Linked DNA regions of Schizosaccharomyces pombe. The gene in region 2 interacts genetically with the main gene of each other region. Each region holds a gene or a part of one and is shown on either strand. Other genes may lie near its edges.

Evidence for each region.
Region 1: of cyk3 (region 2) and chs2, changing one suppresses a phenotype caused by changing the other (phenotypic suppression), as found in Schizosaccharomyces pombe (one study listed by BioGRID).

What each region holds. Positions count from the first base shown.
Region 1 is NC_003423.3:1,091,689-1,102,709, reverse strand, and holds chs2 (chitin synthase-like protein 2), read right to left. Parts: upstream 7,490-11,021; 5' UTR 7,353-7,489; coding exon 5,353-7,352; intron 5,306-5,352; coding exon 4,525-5,305; 3' UTR 4,482-4,524; downstream 1-4,481. Other genes in the region: SPOM_SPBC1709.03 (uncharacterized protein), read right to left, coding at 1-290, 336-396; vrs1 (valine--tRNA (Val) ligase Vrs1/Vas1), read left to right, coding at 1,238-1,273, 1,314-1,365, 1,425-1,498, 1,630-4,410; SIN3 family co-repressor, Clr6 and Rpd3L histone deacetylase complex subunit Pst3, read left to right, coding at 8,057-8,102, 8,194-11,021. UniProt on the Schizosaccharomyces pombe protein: Plays a role in septum formation. Has no chitin synthase activity.
Region 2 is NC_003424.3:1,973,268-1,986,623, reverse strand, and holds cyk3 (cytokinesis protein Cyk3), read left to right. Parts: upstream 1-4,474; 5' UTR 4,475-4,516; coding exon 4,517-4,583; exon of another isoform or gene 4,584-4,666; coding exon 4,667-7,260; 3' UTR 7,261-7,562; coding exon of another isoform or gene 7,563-7,985; 3' UTR 7,986-8,031; coding exon of another isoform or gene 8,032-8,973; 3' UTR 8,974-9,022; coding exon of another isoform or gene 9,023-9,068; 3' UTR 9,069-9,174; coding exon of another isoform or gene 9,175-9,220; 3' UTR 9,221-9,260; coding exon of another isoform or gene 9,261-9,362; 3' UTR 9,363-9,432; coding exon of another isoform or gene 9,433-9,556; 3' UTR 9,557-9,617; coding exon of another isoform or gene 9,618-9,722; 3' UTR 9,723-9,870; downstream 9,871-13,356. Other genes in the region: PAK-like GC kinase Sid1, read right to left, coding at 1-694, 751-867; putative mitotic spindle organizing protein Mzt1, read left to right, coding at 1,080-1,274; SPOM_SPAC9G1.08C (phospholipase), read left to right, coding at 1,331-2,056; SPOM_SPAC9G1.07 (Schizosaccharomyces specific protein), read right to left, coding at 2,186-2,371, 2,417-3,442; actin cortical patch component Aip1, read right to left, coding at 7,563-7,985, 8,032-8,973, 9,023-9,068, 9,175-9,220, 9,261-9,362, 9,433-9,556, 9,618-9,722; translocase Oxa101, read right to left, coding at 10,074-10,418, 10,495-11,245, 11,311-11,339; rpl3001 (60S ribosomal protein eL30), read left to right, coding at 12,570-12,808, 12,868-12,958; MAP kinase kinase kinase Wis4, read right to left, coding at 13,301-13,356. UniProt on the Schizosaccharomyces pombe protein: Involved in cytokinesis.

The DNA.
Region 1 (11,021 bases), on a different chromosome or scaffold from region 2:
GCGAAAAGCAGGGTTCAGAGTATCAAACAGTTCAGACTCCGCCAATCCGGCAATTGTCAAAAAAGTATTAGACTTTTCTGCATAAAAAAAAGAAGAAAGCTCAGAATGACTGTGGAGCATTTCATTAATAATTTTTCTAGCACCGCTATGTGATTTCAGCTTGTGGAACCGTGATACGCCCAGTTTATGAGCAAATACAAGCCTGGAATCTGAAGGAGAAATTGAAGGGACTTCATTTTCATTACCAGAGAGACCTGACATATAAACTGAAGCCTCAGTATATGAAACACCTAAAACTGGTTAATAAACGCAATCTAAAACTATTTAGGACGAACCTGAGGCCAAAGCTAATGTACATCCACCGATAAAGAAAATAAAATATCTAAGGAGACTCATACGTGTTTATTTCGCAAGGATGGTGGAGGGAAGCACTTCTGTAGTCCTTTTGTGGTAGATCGCAGCTCCTTGGGTTACAACCAACGAAGTGTAATTGCCATTACTCTTCTGTGTTAATACCTGGTACGTTTAGTCTTTAAAAATTTGATTTAAAAGAGGATGTCGTGAATAATAGTTTCTCTCATTTTATTAAATAAAACGACTCGTATTTCGTTTATTACTTTTTGTATCTAATGTATAAAACTTCATCTTTTTATACTACTGGTCGATAAGACGATTTTTTAACAATCCAATGCTATAAACTAAATTCTTTTATTAAACTTTTGCACCTTTACGTTGAATCTTGTCTCAGGACTTCTTTTTTCCATCCTACTTTATAGTCCTTGATTTGTTGTAGTGATGCTGATATTCCTGCTGATTTGCAAAGATTAAACAAATCAAATTAAAAATTGCTACTTGAAATTAACAAAATCATAGCTATCAACTATAAAAGCCATCTATTAAGAGTGCAATAACGACGACATTTAAACCATGCTTGTTGATGAGTGCAAACATTTTGCTCTCAGCAACAAGGAGACCGATGAAGCATAATTAAAAGAGAACCAACTACTGTTCAATTTATACTAATAAATATGCAAAAATTTAAATGATATTAAAAAAAACATGTAGATAACGAACGCTGTTTACAAGGATTCATTATTGATTTCAAGTGTCTTAAAATTCGTTAACCGGGGAGTGCAGCGTAATGCAAATCCTTTAATCACTTGTAACGTTTAATGACAAGTTCGTTATGTGACTTTTTATTGCACCCGAACAATTCTTTCAACAACACACTTTTCCAATGGCAGACAAAGGCTGTGAAGCTGCTCAGTCTAAGGTGAGTTGAACTTTTGTCAATTGGTTTCTAATAATTGAAGGATTCTTCCGCACCTGGTTCTGGTGAGCCTAGGCCTAAAACCGAGAAAGAATGTGAGTTGTTGAAATACAAATTCATATGCATCACCTTATCATTTCTAACATCTATATAGTAGAGCGTGAACGCCAAAAGGCGGCTAAGCTTGAAAAGTATCATGCAAAGCTGGCGGCCAAGAAGGCGAAGGAGGTATGCTTAATTTTTGGAGTATTCAGTATTTTGAATTTTCATTTGTCATTTGTGAATGACTTTATACCTTTATATTTTCAATTGGAATACTACCAGCTAGATAGCATCAACGTTACTAATCATTTTATTAGGAGGCAAGAAAGCCTAAACTTGATAAGAAGGCTAAGATTGCTTCACCAGTTGCCGAGTATGTCGAAAAGACCACTCCTGGTGAGAAAAAAGTCCTTCAAGACTTGGACTCTCCTGCTTTGAAGTCCTATAATCCCAAAGCTGTTGAGTCTGCTTGGTATGACTGGTGGGTCAAGTCTGGTTTCTTTGAACCCGAGTTTGGTCCTGATGGTAAACCTAAGAAAGAGGGCGTATTTGTTATTACATCTCCTCCTCCCAATGTCACTGGTGCTTTGCATATTGGCCATGCTCTTACGATTGCTATTCAAGATTCGTTAGCTCGGTGGAACAGAATGCTTGGTAAAACAGTTTTGTTTCTGGGTGGTTTCGATCATGCTGGTTTAAGTACCCAATCTGTTGTTGAAAAGAAGCTTTGGTACACGCAGAAGAAGACTCGCCATGATTATCCTCGTGATAAATTTGTTGACATTGTTTGGGAATGGAAAGAAGAATACCATAACCGTATAAAAAACCAAATGTCTCGACTTGGTGGTTCTTTTGATTGGACTCGTGAAGCCTTTACTATGGATGAAAATCTTAGTCGTGCCGTTGTTGAAACCTTTGTTCGTTTGCATGAGGAAAATATTATCTACCGTGCTAATCGTCTCGTGAATTGGTGTACTGCTTTACAAACAACTTTATCAAACCTTGAGGTAGAAAACGTTGACGTTCCTGGCCGTACTTTGCTCAAGGTCCCTGGATATGATGAACCCGTCGAAGTGGGTGTATTGACTTCCATCGCTTATGCCGTTGAAGGTTCTGACGAACGAATTGTTATTGCTACTACACGTCCAGAAACACTTCTCGGAGATACTGCTGTTGCTGTTCATCCCCAGGATCCTCGTTATAAGCACCTACACGGTAAATTTGTAAAACATCCCTTCTGTAACCGTTCAATTCCTATCATCTGTGACGACATAATCGTTGATATGGAATTTGGTACCGGTGCTGTTAAAATCACTCCAGCTCATGATCCTAACGATTATGAAGTTGGAAAGCGTCATAATTTGGAGTTCATTAATATTTTCACTGACGATGGTCTTCTCAATGAAAATTGTGGAGAATTTGCTGGCATGAAGCGTTTTACTGCTCGTGTTAAGGTTGTTGAACGACTCAAGGAGCTCGGCTTATTTGTTGGTACCAAGGAAAATCCAATGGTAATTCCACTTTGTGGGAAGACTTCGGATATTATTGAGCCAGTCATGAAGCCTCAATGGTGGGTGAATCAAAAAGAGATGGCTGCAGCCGCAGCTGAAGTTGTAAAGTCTGGTGAAATCGAAATTGCTCCTGATATGTCTCGCCGAGAATTCATTCGCTGGATGGAAAATATCCAAGACTGGTGCATTTCTCGTCAATTATGGTGGGGTCATCGTATCCCAGCCTATTTTGTAAATTTAGCTGACGAACCTTCTCAAGATCGAAGTGAAGGCCGTTATTGGGTTACTGGTCGTACTTTGGAACAAGCAGAAGAGAAAGCTAAAGCTGCTTTTCCTGGAAAGTCTTTCACACTAGAACAGGATGAAGACGTTCTTGATACTTGGTTCTCCTCCGGATTGTGGCCTTTTTCTACCCTTGGCTGGCCAAAGGATACTAGCGATTATGAAAATTTCTATCCTACTACTCTGATGGAAACAGGTTGGGATATTCTTTTCTTCTGGATTGCTCGTATGGTAATGTTGGGTCTCAAATTAACCGGAAAGATTCCCTTTAAACGTGTATTTTGTCATGCACTCGTTCGTGATGCTCAAGGCCGCAAAATGTCTAAATCATTGGGAAATGTTGTGGATCCTATAGATGTCATTGAGGGTATTTCTCTACAAGCATTACATGATAAGCTTTTGGTTGGCAATCTCGACAGCAGAGAGGTCGAAAAAGCTAAAAAGGGTCAACGGTTGAGCTATCCCAAGGGTATACCTCAATGTGGAACTGACGCTTTGCGTTTTACCCTCTGTTCCTTGACTACTGGTGGTCGTGATCTCAACCTTGATATCCTTCGTGTTGAAGGATATCGTAAATTCTGTAACAAGTTGTACAATGCTACAAAATTTGCTTTGGGTCGTCTAGGTTCTAATTTCGTTCCTAACAAGACTGCCGATCTTACTGGTAATGAATCACTTGTAGAAAAGTGGATTTTCCACCGCTTGAACATCGCAGCAGCCGCTATGAACAAAAACATGGAAGAAATGAACTTCCTTCAAGCTACTTCAGCTGTTCACCAATTTTGGTTGTATGAACTTTGTGATGTTTACATTGAGAACTCAAAATACCTTCTAAGTGATGGTACAGAGGTACAACAAGAATCTGCTAAGCAAACCCTCTATACTGTCCTTGACAACGCTCTTCGTTTAATGCATCCTTTTATGCCATACGTTACTGAAGAGATGTGGCAGAGACTTCCTCGTCGTCCTGGAGACAAAACTCAGACTATCGTTAAAGCTGCTTTCCCAGTTGAAAGGGTAGACTATTCTAACGAGATAGCTGCTAAATATTACGAGTCTATCATTACTGTCGTTCACTCTACTCGTTCAATGATGGCTGAAAATGGAATCAAATCAGATGCTGTGGTATACATTCATCCTGATGAAGAACATTCCAAACTCATTACTTCGGAATCTGCCAGTATTCAAAGTCTTATCAAGAAATGCAAAACTTTAAGCATCGTTGATAATACTTTTGATTCGGACAAATGCGTTAAAAACGAGGTTTTAGAAGGAAGCACTATCTTTTTGGAACGAAACAACTAGATTAACAATCGAAAACTTGTATAGTAATTGAAATTACTATAAATCCCCTACATTGTTTCATTTTAAAATATCGGTCATAGAAGAAATATTTACAAGATAAATTTAGTTGTATCATTAAGGATCATTAAAAATGTAAAGTTTTGATTTCACACAATTAGCAATTCGTGAAATGATCTTGGTAGCTATGAATGTAACAGCTCCCATGGTTTTCCAAGCAGTGAAGGCTACGATACTCCAAAATATATACTTCATGTAGCCATTATTAATAAAACGCATGCCATCGAATACCTGAATCAGAACAATGGCTAAAATTAAGTTGCTTACAGCCCAAACTAGCACATAACGAGTACGAATGTCTTGGTAGTGATCCTCATAGGATTGTGGCTTCCGATAGCAATGGTCCTGAACATCGTGATAAACCGAAGTATCATTAGAAGAACTGAAATTTTTTAAAGAAGAGTTATATACAGAATTCAACACGTTGGCTTTTGGAATACTGATTGTAGTATAGCCTTCGTCGTTCATTGAACAATGGGTAATACCTGTGTCAAAATTAAATTCTTGCTGGTTATCATCCTTCGAAATTGAAGCATCATCAAGATGACAAAGTGCATATATTTGCTCAGTATAAATGCGAGTTGGCATCAGCAGAATGTATTGCACAATACAAGTAAAGATAAAAAAAGGATCCATACAAATTAAAGAAACGAAAGCATAACATGCTAGAATTAATAAAGAAGAGAAAATTAAGGTCGTGAAATAATTGTTGCCTAAAACAATTTCAGAATTATCTGAGTTGTGTAATGGTATCAATGAAATATAAAAAACACAAAAAACGAAATAAATCATAATAATGGAAAACAATGCAGTACTAATGAACAGTAAAACTCGACAGCTAAACAATTAGTTAATATGAGAAATTTTTAAAACAAACATTCATACCTCCGTGGTCGATTGCCCATTGCTAGCATAAACTGTGAAAAAATTAAACAAATTAGAATATATTCGAAAACCAGAAATAAAGGTCGGGCCCAATTACCATACGGATTCAATGAGCTGTATGAAGTGGCATTGCATACAAAGTAGAAGGCCAAAAAGAAATTTGCCATTGAGAAAAAATTCACCAACTTCTCAATTGCAAAGACGAGCGATTGAACGGTGAGCAAAAGGAATCGAAAGAACTTGTGCCGGGTAGTCCATAAAGAAAAAAAATCAACTATAACATAGACAGCAAGACTAAAGCTACTGTTAATTTCAGATTTTTTAGACTCTAGTATTCCAGCCATTGAATTGGGCGCTTCAATAGTAGCACAAGCTTCAGGTACATATTGCAAATGCCATTTTGCATCTTTTCGGGTGATTACTTTCCAGAAAAGGAGTTGTTCTTGTGCCAAAAAAGCATTGGATTGTAAGATACCTCTCCTAGGAATTTCATATTGGTCTTGCTCGAAATAATCGGCTAGTGGTCCAGGGTTTGGATATGAATCTTGCAAAGCGACGTATCGAAATCCATAAATTGCGTTAAGCGCATTTGAAATATAACCCATGCAGCTGTCGTACGGTAAGCGAAGATTGTTATGGATCATTTGGTCAAAATGTTGAGAAGCAATGAATGGATTTAACAGTCTAAAGCCAAACTTTCCTGTATCAATCGAAGTTTTACCACACATTCCTCCAATAGTGGAATCAACATCAAAAGCTTTCCACGCATGATAAATAGATGTTGGGCCAAGCCTTGCACCGTTACGAACAAAGAGACAAACCTTGGGACGAGCAAGCGATGCTATACCATTTAAAAACCAGCGATGCGAGTTATAAGTGCCTAGACGACGGTCCTTAACACAGAGTAACATCTGCATTGGAACGTTTCCGTCACCAGTCGCTGTTGTAAGATTGAGTTTCTCATCAACGTTGATGGTACTTGTGAATTCATACATATGGGATAAAGTTCTTTTTCCGTTTACTCTCCCTTTAGCAATGTGAGGTTGATACACTCCTATAGATGCAAGCAAGTCCAAGACGTTTTGGTGAACAGTGTTACGGCCATCAATTACGACACATACTAAAACCTTTTCCCAACTCTCATTTCCCCATACCCGCGACTTAGACCGTGAGCAAAGATGTTTTAAATTATTCATGATACTAGAAAGAGAAATGGCAAAAGATGCCAAATCCTCATCGCTAAGTGTTAGACAAACAGCAATTTGAATGTCGCGACCCGTGGACCATGTTCGTAGTTGAAGCCCATTATTATTCATATCTTCTGGTTGGCAGGTAATGGCCGAATACCGCAGGAAACTTGCTTCATCGGGGTTTTTTTGCATAAATGGACCAAGCATGCCACGTAAGTCTATTGGCGTTGGGCAATCAATAGTCAGGCTTCCACATAATAATGGAACATCTTTGGAATAGTGCGAACTTGATGAATTCAAGCGATCAATCGAGGTGTATGACTGACTGTGCGTCATTGGTTCATTGACGGGCGAAGCAGAGATTTCTGAATTAAAGTCCAGATACTCATTCTTGGAGGAATTTTCATAACCGTCGTCTGAGTTACTATTCACAGTATGGGTTGGTTGAAGAGGAACGCTAAAAACTCCAGTTTTGTGAAGTGGAGGGATAGGTGGCTCGTGTTCATCAAATGAACGCTCCTCAAAATCGTAAACTGAATCTGTGTAAGAAAAAGCATCTTCTTCCAAGGTCCTTAACGTCTTCATATACTCGACTTTTTGATCGTCAGGAGATTTTATCTCATCATACTCATCGTAACAAGGAAAGCTTTTAGAAGAACTCGAACTGAGGGTCGAACTAGAATATGCTGTTTCTTCATCTACACTACTGTGACTGACCCAGTTTCGTAAATCCTGCGAATCTTGAGTGTCCTTAGGTTGCAAGAAGGACCGGTGTTTAGCATTAATATAGCTGGGATTCTGAAAACTCATGTTGATGCTTTCAAAAATTTCCACAAAGCAAGAAATGAATAAAAGTGTTTGGGTTGTTTGATATTATAAATTTTCCAGATAGCGATAATTCCTTGCTTTTAGAGGGCTTAAGACGATCAATACCAAAGCCTCAGAACAAGCAGAATGATGGACCACAGCTTGCTTTTATTCCATTCGAAATTGTTACTGATTTCATTGTTTACAAATTTAGAAACGATGTTTGTTTACGAAGCAGATGCCATAGTAACGAGGTAGCCATGCAACGCGTGCGTAGCCTATGAGAACGTACAGGAGATGCAGCGCCATAATTTGTACTGCGTACTCCGTAAAATGAGAATAATGAGCAAAAGGGTATAGTATTTTTTCAACGTTCAAAAGTAACGAACAGTCAAAGATGCTAGATGGGGCAAGGAAACGACTAAAAAATTGATGTCAGAATTTCTTGACACAATAAACATGAATTAAAATTCTTTACTCTAATCAAAGAATGAAATTAATGATTTTTAAATTCAACTCAACTGCTGATGTTTTGGAAATTAGTTAAGGTAGGCAGGTGTGTGTAGCACGCACGTTACGTGATGACATTTACTTGTGTCAAACACAACAAACCAATCTTACCTTTCCCGTAACGCGATTCAGACATTGCAAGACTGCAACTATCGAGATAAAGCAGTCATTTCTGTTGCATTTATGAGTTTTTAACCATGGATGTAATGAATGTGCCTGTCGACTCAGAACGCGACAATCCTGGTAAGTTTTTACATGCTTCTTCTGCGAAACATCATTTCGAGAAACAATCTTGGTTTATGAGGTTCGTTTTTAACAAATGCTAATATTATAGGCGACAAAGTTGAGACACAATCTGATAAAAACCATTTACCAAAAGCGTCACCGTCTCAATCCCAGTCACCTGTAAACACCTCTTTGCACAATGGTGATGGAAAAGATAATGGCGTAGCTACTGAACCTGTTGAAAACAAACAGATTTTATCGGAAAGAAGTGTAACTCGCGATGATTACGAAAAAGGAAAAACCATAGTTTCCTCGCTCGCCTTATCATCGATTTCTGGTAAAGATGGCTCCATTTCTTCACAAAATGCAGAAGGATTAAGTTCTTCTTCTAATCGTCCTTTGGATGTGAACGATGCGCTTTCCTATCTTGAGTTAGTAAAATATTATTTTTCTGAACGCCGAGAAATTTACAATCGATTTTTGGAAATTATGCGCGATTTCAAATCTCAGGCGCTTGACACCTTGGGAGTTATTAATCGTGTATCAGAGTTGTTTAACGGTTACCCTCAACTTATTGAAGGCTTTAACACGTTTCTTCCATCCGGTTACAAAATAGAAGTACAATTGGACTCTTCAAACACTAGTGTTGTACGTGTAGGTACTCCTATGCACCCACTTCCCCAGCAGGGCGTCCAAAGTACATTGCCCGTGGCTCCATCTAATGAAGATCAGCGAACAATGGAATCCACTAGTCCTACTGACTCTCAACCTCAGCCATCTGCTCCAAATTTAGTTTCCAGTACTGAAAACGAGAAGCCTCGGGTAGATTTTAACTATGCGATTGCTTATATGAACAAAGTTAAGGCTCGTTATCCACCAAATTCCGACACGTACATGGAATTTTTAGGTGTTTTGCGCACTTATCAGAAAGCACAAAAGTCGATTTTTGAAGTGCGTGCGAGGGTCGCTGAAATTTTTAAAGATTCACCAGATTTGTTGGAGGAGTTTAAACTTTTTCTTCCTGATAATGTTGATTCAACTGAGCCATCCACCCCTAATGTTCAGAAATCTCCAAACCGTCTTCCTCCGGTTGGGAATTTCAGTCTTCCCCCTTCTGCACCTGTACGTGAAAAAAGAAATCGACCGGCTCATTCTGCCCAAATCAGTAGATCGATATCTAAAACCTCGAGGATGTATCGACAAACTGCTGAAGAGCCATTGAACTCTTATTCCCTTCATGTATATCCGCAAAAAATCACTGCTCCCACGTCCCCTTATGCTGCTACCCAGGAAGAATTACTAGCCTTCACAACGATTAGACAGCATTTACCTGACACTTTAGCCTTTCACAAGTTCCTTGAGCTTCTTCATCTTTATCGGGAAAAGTTATTGGATAAAACAGAATTATTAAATTCTTTTTCAAAACTTGTTAGAAATGATAATTTGACATTGTGGTTTTCCGAATTTATTAGGTGGAGTGATAACCCAATACTTGTAAAAAACGAACCGGTGGACGAACGTGTTTATTTACCAGAAACTTTTGAGTGCATTTCACTGACTTATCGCAAACTTCCGGATTCCTGGAAACAGGACAAATGCTCAGGTCGTGATGATTTGGACAATTCTGTTTTGAATGACGATTATATTTCTGTAGCTCCCAAACCATCCCATGTCAAAAATATAATGCATCATGAAAATCAGTACCTACAGGCATTGCAACTAGTAGAAGACGAACGGTATGATTACGATAGAGTTTTGAATACTACCGAGTCTGCTATAAAAATACTTGCAAACTTTTGTGAGCCGACGATTCACGAGCATTTAGAAACCGCCCTTCAAGAACTCGAGCGATCAAAACGAATAATTAAGAACGCCCTTATAATCGTTTATGGCAAAGAGCATGCAAATTTGGCTCTTGACACTTTATTTAAAAAATTACCCACTGCGGCTCCTGTACTTCTGAAACGTATTAAAACCAAAGATCAAGAATGGAGACGAAGCAAGCGAGAGTGGAGTAAAATTTGGCGGCAAATCGAAAAGAAAAATGCTCAAGCAGCATTTGACGACAGATATTGCAGAATAGAAGGGAGAGACCGTAGAGGATTATCTTATAGCCGTATTCTTCGCGATATTGATGACATTTATCAACGACAAAAGCATCGGATCGATGGGGCCAAGTTGGGGTTTCAGTTTACCCAAGTTTTATGTGATAGTCTCATATTTTTGAATATTTTGCGGCTAAGTGATGCTCAGTTAACAAACTCTTCTTTTTATTCATACGCTGACAAGGGTCGAATTAGTGCTGTTTTGAAAGCTTTATTATCGCAATTTTTTGGCATTCCGCTACCTCGCGAAGCACTTGAGACTAACCTTGCTTCTGAAAATATTGAATCGGTTAAAAAACACAGAGATGGTTTAAGCAAAATATTTATTCGTCCCGAAAGTGCTGATAATAGTAATAACACCAATGTGAGTTTTCAAACCGATGAAACTCAAACTGAAGATGAAACTATGAGTGATATACATCCTGACGATGTTGAAAATCATTCGAAATCTAAATTTCTTGGTGAAGAGTCGAAAAACATAATTGGCTACAATTTTTTTGGGAATGCTACAATGTATGTTCTGTTTAGATTGATATGTGTCTGCTATTCTCGGCTAGAGCATATCAAGTTGTTTGTTGAATCTTCGACTATATATGCTTCAAGCACAGGGGGTTACGAGAATATTTTGAATATCTGTGAAAAATATTTGAAAGGTTCTTGTTCCCGTCTCGAATTCCGAAAATATTTGCAAAAATTCAATAATGAAACTTGCTACATGATTTGCTCTATAGAACGGTTACTCAAAGTTATATTTTATCGTATTCATGAGATATTGCTTGATCCCAAACTGGGCCAACTACTTTTATTATTCGAATCTGATGGCGCCAATTCA
Region 2 (13,356 bases):
GAATAATGTCTTTCACAGTTCCTGCGCTTTTGATGAATGGGTGTTGAAGGAGTTCTTTAGCTGACCATCGCATATTAGGATTGAGATCTAAGCAGCAGGACACAAAATCACGGAATGTTGGACTGAAATGATCATCTAGCTTTGGAGGCTCGGATTGAGGAATTTCAAAGATGACACGCATTGGATGCATTGTAGCGCGGGGCGGAATTCCGTTAGCCATTTCAATAGCCGTAATTCCAAGAGACCAAATGTCAGCAGCTAAACCATAACTTGTTTGTTGTATTACTTCCGGTGCCATCCAAAATGGCGTTCCAACAAACGTGTGTCTACGCGAAGCAGCGTTCGAAAGTTGAGCGGCAACTCCAAAGTCAGCAAGCTTTACGTTTCCGGTAGAGGAAGATAGTAGTATATTGGCGGCTTTGATATCTCTGTGGATTTTGTTTTGTCCATGAAGATAATTTAGCCCATAAAGGACCTCTCGAAGAATGATTGAAATTACTTGTTCATTCAACCTTCCCATTTTCAAAAGTCCCGAAACTGATCCTCCATCCATATGCTCCATCAAAATCCATAATGTGTATCCGTCAACAAAACAACCGTAATACTGAATTACATTGGAACTGTTGCAATTCGATAACATAAATACCTCTTGTTCGATGTCGGTAATGTCGTCAATACCTGTTTCTAAATCAATCTGCAACTGTAAGTTTTTTGTGATACTAAAGAAGAGTAAAAATTAATTAGTCTTACCTGTTTAATAGCGATAATGTCGCCAGACACATTTTCACGTGCTTTCCAGACAACCCCAAATGAACCTGATCCTAATTTCCGTAGCAGAGTATAAGAATTAGCATTGAGAGGATACATTTCATCAATATTTTGACTGCTCAAATCTGAGGTTGAGCCTACTTTCGGTTTCGTTTTACAAGCACAAGCTAGATGCACCACGAAGTACTTTGTTTATTACTTAGAGGATTATAATGAGCTACTCCGAGACGCCTATTCCAGTAAACTTAACATTACCAACTTGTTACGAAGTATATATAATTAGACTAGTTTATTATAAAGTATCGAGTTTTATGTCTGAATCTACCAAAGAGACAATAGAAGTTTTATACGAAATAGGAACATTGCTTGGAACTGAACTTGATAAAACAACGCTTTCACTCTGCATCAGTCTTTGTGAAAACAACGTACACCCAGAAGCAATAGCTCAAATAATTCGGGAAATACGTATGGCTCAGGAACAAACTGTTGACACAGAACCAAGTTAATGGCAAGAAGTTTAATCTCAATAGTTGACCTCGGGGTTTAGTATTTCTTTTATCTAATGTCTTCTTTAAACAGTGTTCTACCTTCAAATGCATGCGCAGAGATTATTGAAGGGAAAGACAAGGTTCACAATGTAGTTATTTTAATGCATGGACTTGGAGATTCTCACAAGAGTTTTGCAAATATGGCAAAGAACGTTCCGTTGCCCAACACTAGTTATATTTCCTTACGTGGACCATATCGATTACCATTAGATTTTGAAAATCCTGGAGGCAATTGGATGTGGGGAGAGGATGTCCATTTTGATCAAAACGGGGAACTGCAATCTGAAGCCGATTTCTCTAAAAGTTTTACGATGATTTCAAATTTAATTGGCAATCTACTCTCTTACGGTATATTATCTTCTAGAATATTTTTTTTCGGGTTTGGTCAAGGAGCTATGGTTGCTTTATATAGTTGTTATAAATTGTCTACTAAATACCAGCTTGGAGGGATATTTTCCTTTGGAGGTACTCTACCGCTATCCATAACTTTGCCCAATCATCCATTTCATGTTCCAGTGTATTTGTTTGAAAAGCGATTGCATTGTTCATGCAGCGAATATGAAGAATCGCGATTACGTAAAACATTTAAACCATTTCACCTCACATGTTGGAATCGTGATGATAAAACTGACATGCCTTCATCCCCTAGAGAATGGTATACATTCGTTCAATCTATTAGTAAACATTTGTATATTCACAACACGTTGTTTGAAGATGCAATTCCTCTTACATCTTTTTAGAATTGATTTATTTAAGTTAACATTTGTTCACAATAAAGTTAATATTCATTTGGGCATAGATATAACAATAACTCCTCTAGCCATTATGTGATTAAAATTAGTACGTTTACCTTTTGATCATTAAGATTTTCAATCGACAAGATAACTAAGATCCGGAAGCTTATCAACAATTCTATTAATTAGTTGATTTTGGTCAACTGTTTTTATATTTCCACGCCCTGCTCTCTCATTATTAAGAAACGAAGTATTGATCGATTGAATAACAGCCGGAGTGTCTTTAGGAGCTGACAATGAAGTAGAAGGTGAACTAAAATTCTGAAAAATTAGAGTATTTGGCTCAACTTGAGACTCTTCACTTACATCATCAACGGAAGCAGAAGCTAAATTCGATGAGTTTTTCGAGGTATCTTGGGAACTGACCCATGAACCCCATTCAAAATTATCAGAGGTTGGATCCGGGGAAAGAGACGTTGATGAATTTTTTTTCTTCGTTTCTCTAATTTTTTCTTCAGAGTCAAGTTTAGCGATTGATGAATGTTCTTCGACTTCATCAACTTTTTTACGATCCAAACTTAGTGGTGATTTTGGAACAACTTCATCCTCTTTATTTATTGAAATTGTAGAACAACTGTTGCTTTCCCTCTCAATCAATTTGACTGGGGAAGAAAGGAAAGTATTTGCAGATAATTTGTGATCCTGTTTAACAGCAACTGTATTATTTAAAAGAGCCGTAGAAGAAGAATAATCCTTGGGAATTTCATTCGATGATAAATTAGAAAAATCAAGTATATCTGAAGGAACATTTATACTGGAAATCTTGGTCGTAGAAAAATTAGATAAAGGAGACTGTTCCGGTAACAAAATATTTTTGTCATTGATGGGCGGTGTGACAGGTGAATTGGTATAGCTTGCTGTTTTCCTTTTCTGCTTCTGATAAGCTGTTGACCAACAAAAAAGCACATTGCTTTTTCGATTTACATTAGACCGTTCTTGGTTCCATAAAGTCATATGTTCTTTAAGTAAACGACTAATGGTTCCTTGTTTTAGTTCTCCTAAACTTTTCTCATTGTATCCTAAGCGGATTAATTGTCTAAAATTGGTTTCCGAGGTAGCTGTAATACCTATATAATCTTTGGATGCCAATGAAATCCGTTTAGGAGGCTTGACAACGCCAAATGTGTAATCCAACTTTTCATTAATATCTTTCAAATTAAATGTGTCAAGATTGAGAGCATTTTCTTTCCAGACTGATGCCTCCATTGAAAAACTGACATCGTTAGTAATTGAGGGAATTGCTGAATTCGAGTTGGATATATTTTCACTACCCCATGCATTATGAGGATTAGAGGCGTTCGAAAAACTAACAGAGTTCAGCAAATCATCCATATAAATCACATTCCAGTTCTTTAAGTTGTAGATTCTCAATTTAATAATATATGAGTGGATAAAAAAAACGTAGGTGCCATCAACTTCGGGTTAAAAAGAAAACAAAAAGAGCCTTAACTATACTTCTTTTATAAAAGGAACCTTTTTAGAGTATTAGTATAAATGCTCAAGATGAGTTGAAAGCGGTTCGGCTAGGGTAAGCGACTTAAGCCACCACATCGTGTGCAACGCAAGTAGGCAACTTAAATCCGTTCAACGTATTTAGTGTGAAATTAAAAATAAAATAAACTCAATTAAATTTCCGGAAGAAGAATAAATTTTATAAGTAATCATTTTAAAATAGGACAGAGTTTTTTAACAAATTTTAAGCTAGTAAACAATTAATCTAATACTCTGGCGAAAGTTGCTAGCTTTATTAAAGAGGAATCTCATATGGACTGAAGCATCGTGCAAATTTTTGAAAATTACATTTGGTAAATTAAAACCTAGATTATTTCATCTAAATAATATGGCTTAAAGTGCGCATAAATATGGATGCTGGTTTCAAATCATTTGAATATTATGTCTTGTGCAAAAAGCTCTTTAAAAAAATTACAGAAGTGCAAATGTACCACATATTTCAAGTTAAAATGAACCCTTCTAGGACTTCTAACAATTTTAGTAAATTTTCTCACTAAATCAATTATAATCTACATGAAATGAATCTAACATCGCACTCTTTATCGTTAAAGAATGTTTCATGGTAGCCAAATATCTTTCTTTTTTTAATTTTCCTAAAATGAAATTCTAGTATGGTTGAATTTATTACCGATCTGCATTTTATCGAGTATTATTGAAAATATTTCCATTTTTTAATTGTGCGCTAAGTATATAAGTCGCGTTATTAGAAAAATTATGATGTACTCGGTTAATTGAGCTCTAAAAAAAAAACAAAGTTATTAGTGTACTTCGCTTAAATAAGAATCTTATCTTCACATTCATACACAACTCACATCACGTTACGGAACTTCCGCTCCGCTCGTTTTTTATATTAACTACCAAAGACTATAATTTCATTCCTTTAAGCCTTCAGGAATGTCCATTCCTAAACAACTACCATGCATGGTACGTGCTCTGTATGCATGGCCAGGTGAACGTGAAGGTTCGTAACATTTAAAGATGCTGTTAAGTAACGTCGCAATTATTGATGTAAAGTTTAAAAAATATATATTAATGTGTTTTCAGGTGATTTAAAATTTACAGAAGGAGATTTAATAGAATGCTTAAGCATAGGTGATGGAAAATGGTGGATTGGCAGACATATCAATACTAATACACAAGGGATATTTCCTAGCAACTTTGTTCACTGTTTAGATATTCCCACGGTACGACCTGGCAGTTCTATGTCAAGAACTAGCGCTTCTAGCTTTAGATATTCTTCTCCTCAAAAAAGCTCTATAGACACCCCAATAACTTCATCTGATCAAGGTCTAACTCCTGATCTCGTTGGAAGCTCAAATGCTTTGAATAAACCAACCCGAGAGAGTGACTCACTAAAACACCAAAAAAGTCACCCCATGCTCAATTCGCTAGGATCAAGTCTGTCACTTAAGAAAAGCGTATCTAGACCGCCATCTTCAATGTCTCGTACCAACTTAGATGTCTCTTCCAGATGGGACAATACAGCCGATAACGACTCTCAGATTGATGCCCAAGATTTAAGTAGATCTACACCTTCCCCTTTAAGAAGTGCTATGGAAAATGTTCTTCAATCGTTAAATGCAATGGGCAAAAAAAGTTTTAGTCGAGCGAATTCCCCTCTTTTAAGACTTACGAAAAGCACTACAACTAGCAAAGAAACGGACTTCATTCCTGTCCCTCCTGCACATGGGTCCACAAGTATGACTTCTCGATCCAAGCTGGATGATTCAACAGATAATTCGTCAAAACCAAGAACAAGTTTGCAACCAGGAGAATCACCTATGAAGTCTTCAAGAGATATTTCTAGAAAACCTTCCATGGCTTCATCAGTTTTATCTCCGTCTGATTATTTTCCGCAGCACAGGCGTTTTCAGAGTGCTCCCGCACCTATTCCCAGACCCGTTTCAACATTGATACCACTAACTCAAGTTCGGACCACCGCGTCGAATGTTATAAAGCCAAGACCGCAAACAACGGAGCGACCCTCAACTGCTCAATCGTTTAGAAAAGGTGGTGGATTTTTAAAAAAAACTTTCAAAAAGCTTTTGCGTCGTGGATCGTCAAAACGTAAGCCCAGTCTCCAACCAACTCCTCCGGTAAGTTATCCGGCGCACAATGTTCCTCAAAAAGGTGTTCGTCCTGCATCGCCTCATACATTAAAATCAGTAAAAGATGATTTGAAACGTACAAAGACATACACGAAAGCCGAGTTTGCGGCGAAACGGGAAGAAATCTTCAATAAGCTTTCGATGCCGGTATATGAACCATTGAAGGATCTCAGTGAATGTATTGGGAATGTTTTAGCCGACGGCGAGCCAGTGCAGTTCTCTGTAGGTACTAATATTCATAACATGAATTTTAGTGCTATTGATAAACAAATAAGGTCAATTATTCCACAACGTGTCCAGGTCAGTCCTGCTGTACTTGCAAAAAATTATTTAGCTCCAGGACAAACGACTGCGCTCGCTCAAATGAGAGCCGTCTTTATATATATTTCTGAACGTATTACGTTCACTAATCAAACTTTGGACAATGATGAATTACGCACAAGTACACAAGTAATTTCCGAAGGACAGGGAACTCCTTTTGAAGTTGCACTGTTGGTTAAAGAAATGTTGCAAGCACTAGATTTATGGTGTGAGGTTATCGAAGGATATCTTAAATCACCAGATGACATCTATTATACCAGAGATATTAATATAAATCATGCTTGGAATGTTGTTACATTTGACAATGAGGTTCGTCTAATTGATGCTAGTTTTGCCAGTCCAACACACCCACAGCAGGCCTTGAAATCCAGCAGCTCCAATGATTTTTATTTTTTAATGAAACCAAACGAGTGTATATTTACTCACGTACCTGAGAATCCGGACCAGCAGTTTATAATGCCAGATTTGTCTATGCCTATAGTAATGGCATTACCTTGGGTATCGTCTGTGTATTTTACTTTAGGATTGAAGTTGCGTAAATTCAATACCAGTATTCTACATTTAAATGACCTTGAAGTTTTACAAATCGAATTTTTAGCTCCAAAGGATATTGAATGCGTTGCTGAAGTTGATGCTCTATCTGCTTTAGCACCTACTGCTGATGTTTCACAGTGTTATAAATACACGTTAACACAGGCTTTCTGGGAAACTCCGGATATTCGTGTTATGAGAGTTAAAGCTGTTATGCCTGCTAATAATCGTGCTGCGGTGCTAAGGATATACGCTGGTCGCTTAGGAGTCTCTAGTCCCGTGAGGACTGCACCTCATCCTATGGCAATGTCTCTTCCATTTGTACATCATGGCAAAAATAAAGCTCTAGAGTTTGTGACTCGTCATCCTGTACCACATTGTCCATCGGTTGATTTGTATATTAATTCCCCCCAATGTGGTACATTGCATTCTGGTGTTGAATACAAATTTAATGTTTCGGCCTATGCCTGCCAGCCATCTACCTCCATTAGCAATACCAGATTAGCAATACAGACCCCGACGGGAAACATTGTGCGTTTAAGAGAAGAACGATCTGGAAATGGCGTTATTTTTTTCAGCCTTTCCTTAACAATTAATGAAACAGGAGAATACAGAGCTTTAATTTTGGCTGAAAAGATAGGAAGATGGGTAGTCTATGCAACCTGGCAGGCGGTTTAAATAATTTCAAATCTTGCGACTTTATCCTATAAATTTTCCTATAAATAATGTCTGTTCTGTGTAATATTGAAGGTTGATGTTTACAACTAAGTCATTATTCATTTAATGTTTTTAATATATATCTATTACTATTGGAATCGTGATGTCCAAGCTTAACTGTATTCCCTTTGTTTCTTAATTTTAATGATTATAATAATGAGAAAGTTTTAACTATTAGATATGGCATCAGAAAAGCTAACAGTATCTTACAAAAAAAATTTTTTTATTAAAATCTTGCAAAAAATGAGAATTGTACTACGAATTCAAAAGGTCACTGACCATACTTTGATTGCAGCATCACTTCCAGTACTTAAAAGCTCATTTTCAGAAACCCATTCAACTTGGGTAGCTCCCAATGAGTGAGCATTTTTCATCGCAATATATTTCATGGGTCGTTCTACTGAATAAATGTGAATGTTGGTGTCTAATGAAGCGGTCGCTAAATGAGTAGATTTTGCATTCCACGACATTCCTAGAATACGGCCAGTGTGAAACGCCCAGCGAGAAGTAATAACTTCCCGAGAATTGGCGTCATAAAGTACAACCTTCCCTGAGGCATCACCACATGCAAGATACTTTCCATCCGGAGAGTAAGCTAAGCATGTAATCGGTGCTGTTGAATCTTTGCATTGAGCTACTTCACAAAGCTCACCTTTTTCAAGGGTATGGATGTATACACAACAGTCCTAAAAAAGTCAATAATTATATGGAAATTAAAATATGGTATCATACCTCCCCTCCAACGCAAAATTCACTTTTTAAGGGATGCGAAGCAACTGCGCTAGGCTGATAAATAGTCTTGGCTGTAGAAACACCAGTAAGACTACGGAGGACTTGGATATCCGAAACCGTTACCAAAATCAAACAGTCTTCAACCGAGCATACGCCAATAGGTTGGTAGCCAGTTGGAAAAACATTATCTTTCGCGAAACACCCTTGCTTGATATCGATTACCCTTAACGTGTCATCCATGCCAATGGTGATAACATGGTCATCAGCCATTATCATTTGCATGACTTGATTGGTATGACTTTCACCAACCAAAGGGAATGCTTTCTGTTTGCCGATATCCCATGAAAGAACAGTACCATCATATGAGGCAGTATAAAAATGGGTAGCATCAGGTGAAAGTGTAGCGGCAGTGATAGAGCGTTGGTGTCCGTAAATTGTATCAATTACCTTACAGTCCGAAGGATTTAGATATGTTAAGTTTCCCTTTGAGTTAACAACTATTATTAGGTCTTTAGTTGGCCAAACTGTTCCAACTAATTGCTTCTTGTCCGACGAAAGCCATTCGCGAATTAGGGAGCCGGTATTAGCATCCCATATTTTGCAACTGTAACCCGCAGAAGATGTGACAAATTGAGATGAATCTGGAGACCAAGAAATAGAGAAAATGGACCCCTTATGAGCATCAATTTCATAGACCTGATCTCCTGTTTTCCCGTCGAAAACATAAACCTTACCGTCGGCTCCAGCTGAAGCAAATCTTTCATCGTTAGGAGAGTAACGGACATCATAAACGAATTTGGAGTGAACGCGTAAACTTCGGTTGAATCTATAAGGAGTACCGTGAAAAAAATTGATGGAATTATCATCAGATGCAGTAGCAGCACGGAACGGTCTACTCTTGCGCAAAGAAACAGCATTCACTACGCTCGAATGTCCAAAAATCTGTAACCGTTAACATTTTAAGGAAGTTGGAGACTAATAAAACCCTTACTTCACCAACAGAATTACCAGAGTCAGCGGTGAACGCGTGTCCATATCTGTTAAAAGTAAGATTAGCAAGAGTCAACAAATATTGGAATTTTTGAAATTATGAGTAAATCCAATAATTTAACACATCCTTCGAAAACAATAGAAATCACTTACCGCTCTTTACCCTCACCAACAGCTATTATTCTCTGACTGTCTCCGTCTTTTCATCAATTAGCATATTGAAACTTGAACAGGCTTACCCCAGTCTAAATCAGTAATTCGTCCGCTAATAGCAGTAACTTGGTTCTTTAAAATTTTATCTTCTCCAGCACAATCCCATATGCGGACGTTACCTTGATTGTCTATAGTTGATCATTAGTAACGTTTAAAAATAAAAACTTAAGAAATAATAGCAATAATTAGCATTCGTACCGCCAGAAGCTACATAATATCCAGAAGGGCTAAATCGTGCTACAGTTGTAGGAGCAGTATGCTCATTATATTGAAAGCAGTTTTCCTGTTTCTCAATTTCACGAATTATTATCGCTTTGTTAGCCTAAAAACTATTTAGTAAATGTTCTTTAATCGACCAATTCATACGGATTCGACAAACTTACGGGATAAACAATCCTTTCACCTTTAAAATCAGTGCCAATTTTACAAGGCTGTGAAGGTTTTGTTGAAGGAACTGGCGCCCAAGTTGATTTTAACTGAGAAGACATTGCTCTGTTTTTAATTTATTGTAAGTAGCGAAGATGTGGTTCTATGCAGATGGAGCGTGCTACTAGGAGATATTTGACAATGAAACGAGCAACAGATTACCATATTAAAGAGGCGTATACTTTAGCAGTACATGTCATTGGAATATATGATTTATATAGGGATTAATTTTAATACTACCGTAGAAATCACTTTTTGCAACAATACACAGAAGAACGTTTTTATACTAATGCGGTCAAATAATAACCTAAAACAGTACAATATGACTTTAACGAACATGAATATCAAAATGAAAATTGATGAGTAATTAAAGAAGTAGATATCATGAAAAAAATTTAAGCAAAATTAAAATATCAGTTACTTTGCTTCTTTGAATTTTTCTTACTACGGTTAAGTTCCTTGAGCTTTTTATAATGAGAATTAGGTCGAATGGTTGAAGCTGAAGTAGTAGCAACAGCTCGTCTTGATACATCCTTCTGCAATTGCTCATACTGAGTTTTAAAACCGTCACGAACTCCTTTGTAAAACTCTTTTAAGGATTTAATAGGGTTTGTAATCAAAGTAAAGCCTGAAGGTTGCTTTTCTATTATTGATGGTAGCGGAGCGAAGCCAAGTTTACTTCGAACAACGGGATTTTTTAGAATATAACCTTGCACTATATTAAACAGACTGCTGGGTATCCAATACATAAATATTGCCTATTTGATCTTTGGTTAGTTATTCTTCTAAGATAAAGGCTTAAAACAGATTTGACTATTTTGAAAATTCACGTACGGCTGGAAGTTTAGCAGTTAAGAGAGGGCTTAAAAGACAGCACAAAAAGAAAAAAGTTCTCCAGTTGGTAGAATTCCCTATAGTAGATGCAGTATTTGCACGATTCATCTGCATTCCAGAAAACATAAGTCCGGCATTAATAATGGGAAGAATGCAATAAGGATCAGGTATTGACAAATCTTTAAACCATGCAAGTCCTCCAGTGGTAAAACCGTCTACCGACAAACGAGACATCTTTCTAATTGCATAAAAAAAACTAAAGAAAACGGCACTCTGGGTCAAAGGAAGAATAAATATAGCAAAAGGATTAACATTGTGCTTTAAATATATGCCTCGCAAGGCAATGCTATGTTGATTTAAAGCAAGCTGATCATTATCCAGTTTTGCTGTTTTAATCGCCTCTAGTTCTTTTTTCATCTCAGGCTGTATAACGGACAGCTTCGTGCTATTACGAAATGAAGCTATCATAACTGGAGTAAGGGCCAAACGAACCCCCAAAGTTGTGAGTATGATAGAAACCCACCAAGGAGCTCCTGCATATACATTAATCGTGTAAGCAGTATTTTGGATTAGAGCATAAGGCCACCACGATGGGTTGAACCCAGAAGTAGCTGTACTAACTTCAGCGAGTACATTGGTAGAAGAGGGTCGAAATTGAAACCCCAATCTTTTTGATAGAATAGTTTTAGATTGTAATCTTTTTCTCAGAAAACTAGAAGTGGAGTTAAAATGGGGGCTTCCAGCGCATCGCCTAAATTGGTCAATTACCAAGCATTCAATATATCAAGTTTTTATAGTTTTTTTGTAAACACTTACGTTGAAGGTCTAATTAGAAAATGTAACATTGCTTCAACTAATAGTTTATAATTCGAGATTAACTAGTCTTCAAAAATAGATTAGTCCATATGATAATATATATTATACGATCGGGAGAAGTTAAGTCGTCCTTCATATTCTTATACGGGTGGATTTAAGTGGACAAGGTGCTTGTGTTAAATCAATGATATACATTTATTGTTTGGATTTTTATTTTTTTATTTTTTTTTTTTTATTTGATAATATTTCGCCCAAACGAACGTGTTGCATTTCATTAAGTTTCTGGATTTTTCATGGTATGTGCATATTATTACGACAGTTTGACTATTTAGAACCAAATAAATGTTAGCAAAATAACAACAAAAGAAATACATAGAGAGAATTGAATTTTTTATAAATTATTCGAATTTTGAATACCCTTTAGTAGAAATGGGGTAATCGGGATGTGCTAAAAATATACTGAAATACTTAAACATTCCATAAATAATTTTTTTAAGCCATTTTAATTGAATAAATATTTGCGACTGAGGTTTTAGAGATAAGTGATTTAAATTCTGCATTGAAAAAAAAGCAAAAATTTATCAGTATAAGTGAGCCTTCCATTACATTCTCTTAGCTACCGTTAATTAAAATTTGAAAATGAAAAAAAATATATATATATATATTAAAAATTTAGTGTTTATAAAACGTGAGCTACCATCTGAACTCAAACGCTAAAAATATGACAAACATTTCATAATATGTCTTTAAGCAATCAATCTCATGAGACTTATAAATCGCAATTTTTAAATTAAAATTTTATAATCACTTTACTGTGGATGAACTGTAATTGCCTTCTTTTGTAACATGCTACCGTTTATTTTTTATGTACTACTGCATTATTAAATTTGAATAAACCGACGTATCAAAGCTTCAGTTATGTATAATTTTGAGCTTAATTACAAGTTTAGTTTTTATTTTTATATGAAATAGCTATAACTTGAAAGGTACGATTATAGGATTGGAGATAGTAAAGCCAATTATCAGAGCCAACTCCTGCCCTTAAAATAGTAACAAATAGTAGAGATTAATAAATTGAAAAATAGAAGGTCAGAAAACTAACTTATTAAATGAAATCCATAATACAATATTCTTATGAATAGCTCAACTTGAAAGTTGAGATCTTTAGGGTAGGGTTTGAAGCAGTCACATTTTAATTTGTCCTGAACAATTATGAAGCATAAGTTTTCTAGCACCACCTTTCTCCAACAAAAGTAAAAATGGCATCTGTGGTTACCAAGAAGTCTAAAAAGAGCGGAGACACTATCAACGCCAAGCTTGCACTTACCATGAAGAGTGGCAAGTATGTCTTGGGTTACAAGTCTACTTTGAAGACCCTCCGCTCTGGTAAGGCTAAGCTCATTTTGATTGCCGGTAACTGCCCTCCTCTTCGCAAGTCAGAGCTTGAGTACTATGCCATGCTTTCTAAGGCAAATGTTCACCATTACGCTGGCACTAAGTAAGTTTCATTCCAGTTTATGGCTTTATAAAATTGCTTTGTTCTAACTGAGTTATTAGCATTGATCTTGGTACTGCTTGCGGTAAACTTTTCAGAGTTGGTGTTTTGGCCATTACCGATGCCGGTGACTCTGACATCTTGGACGCTTAGGTAAAATAATAAGCATTAAGTTTGTCTTAGTATCATATTTTTACTTCCCCCTTTAGCATGCAGATGATGTATTTACCTTCTTTTTTGTAATTTGCTCCATATAAGTTCATTACTATGTTCTATTTAATTTCATTAAAAAAGTCAGAAAGACTAATTGTAATTAAAGCTGTAAATTGTTATTATCCTTCACCTTGAATAGTTTAGTATACATTAAAGAACGAACATTACTAATGCACTCAACATCCACTTCTAAAGGAAGCAACGAAGATTTGGCATTTCGTGTTAAACTGAATGCAGAACGAGTAGTAATCGCGGTTAACACATTCGCCTAAAACCATGTAATTAGTCAACACTATAGTTTATTGTGTCTGGGGTAACAATAGCTGGCGGTAAGTTAA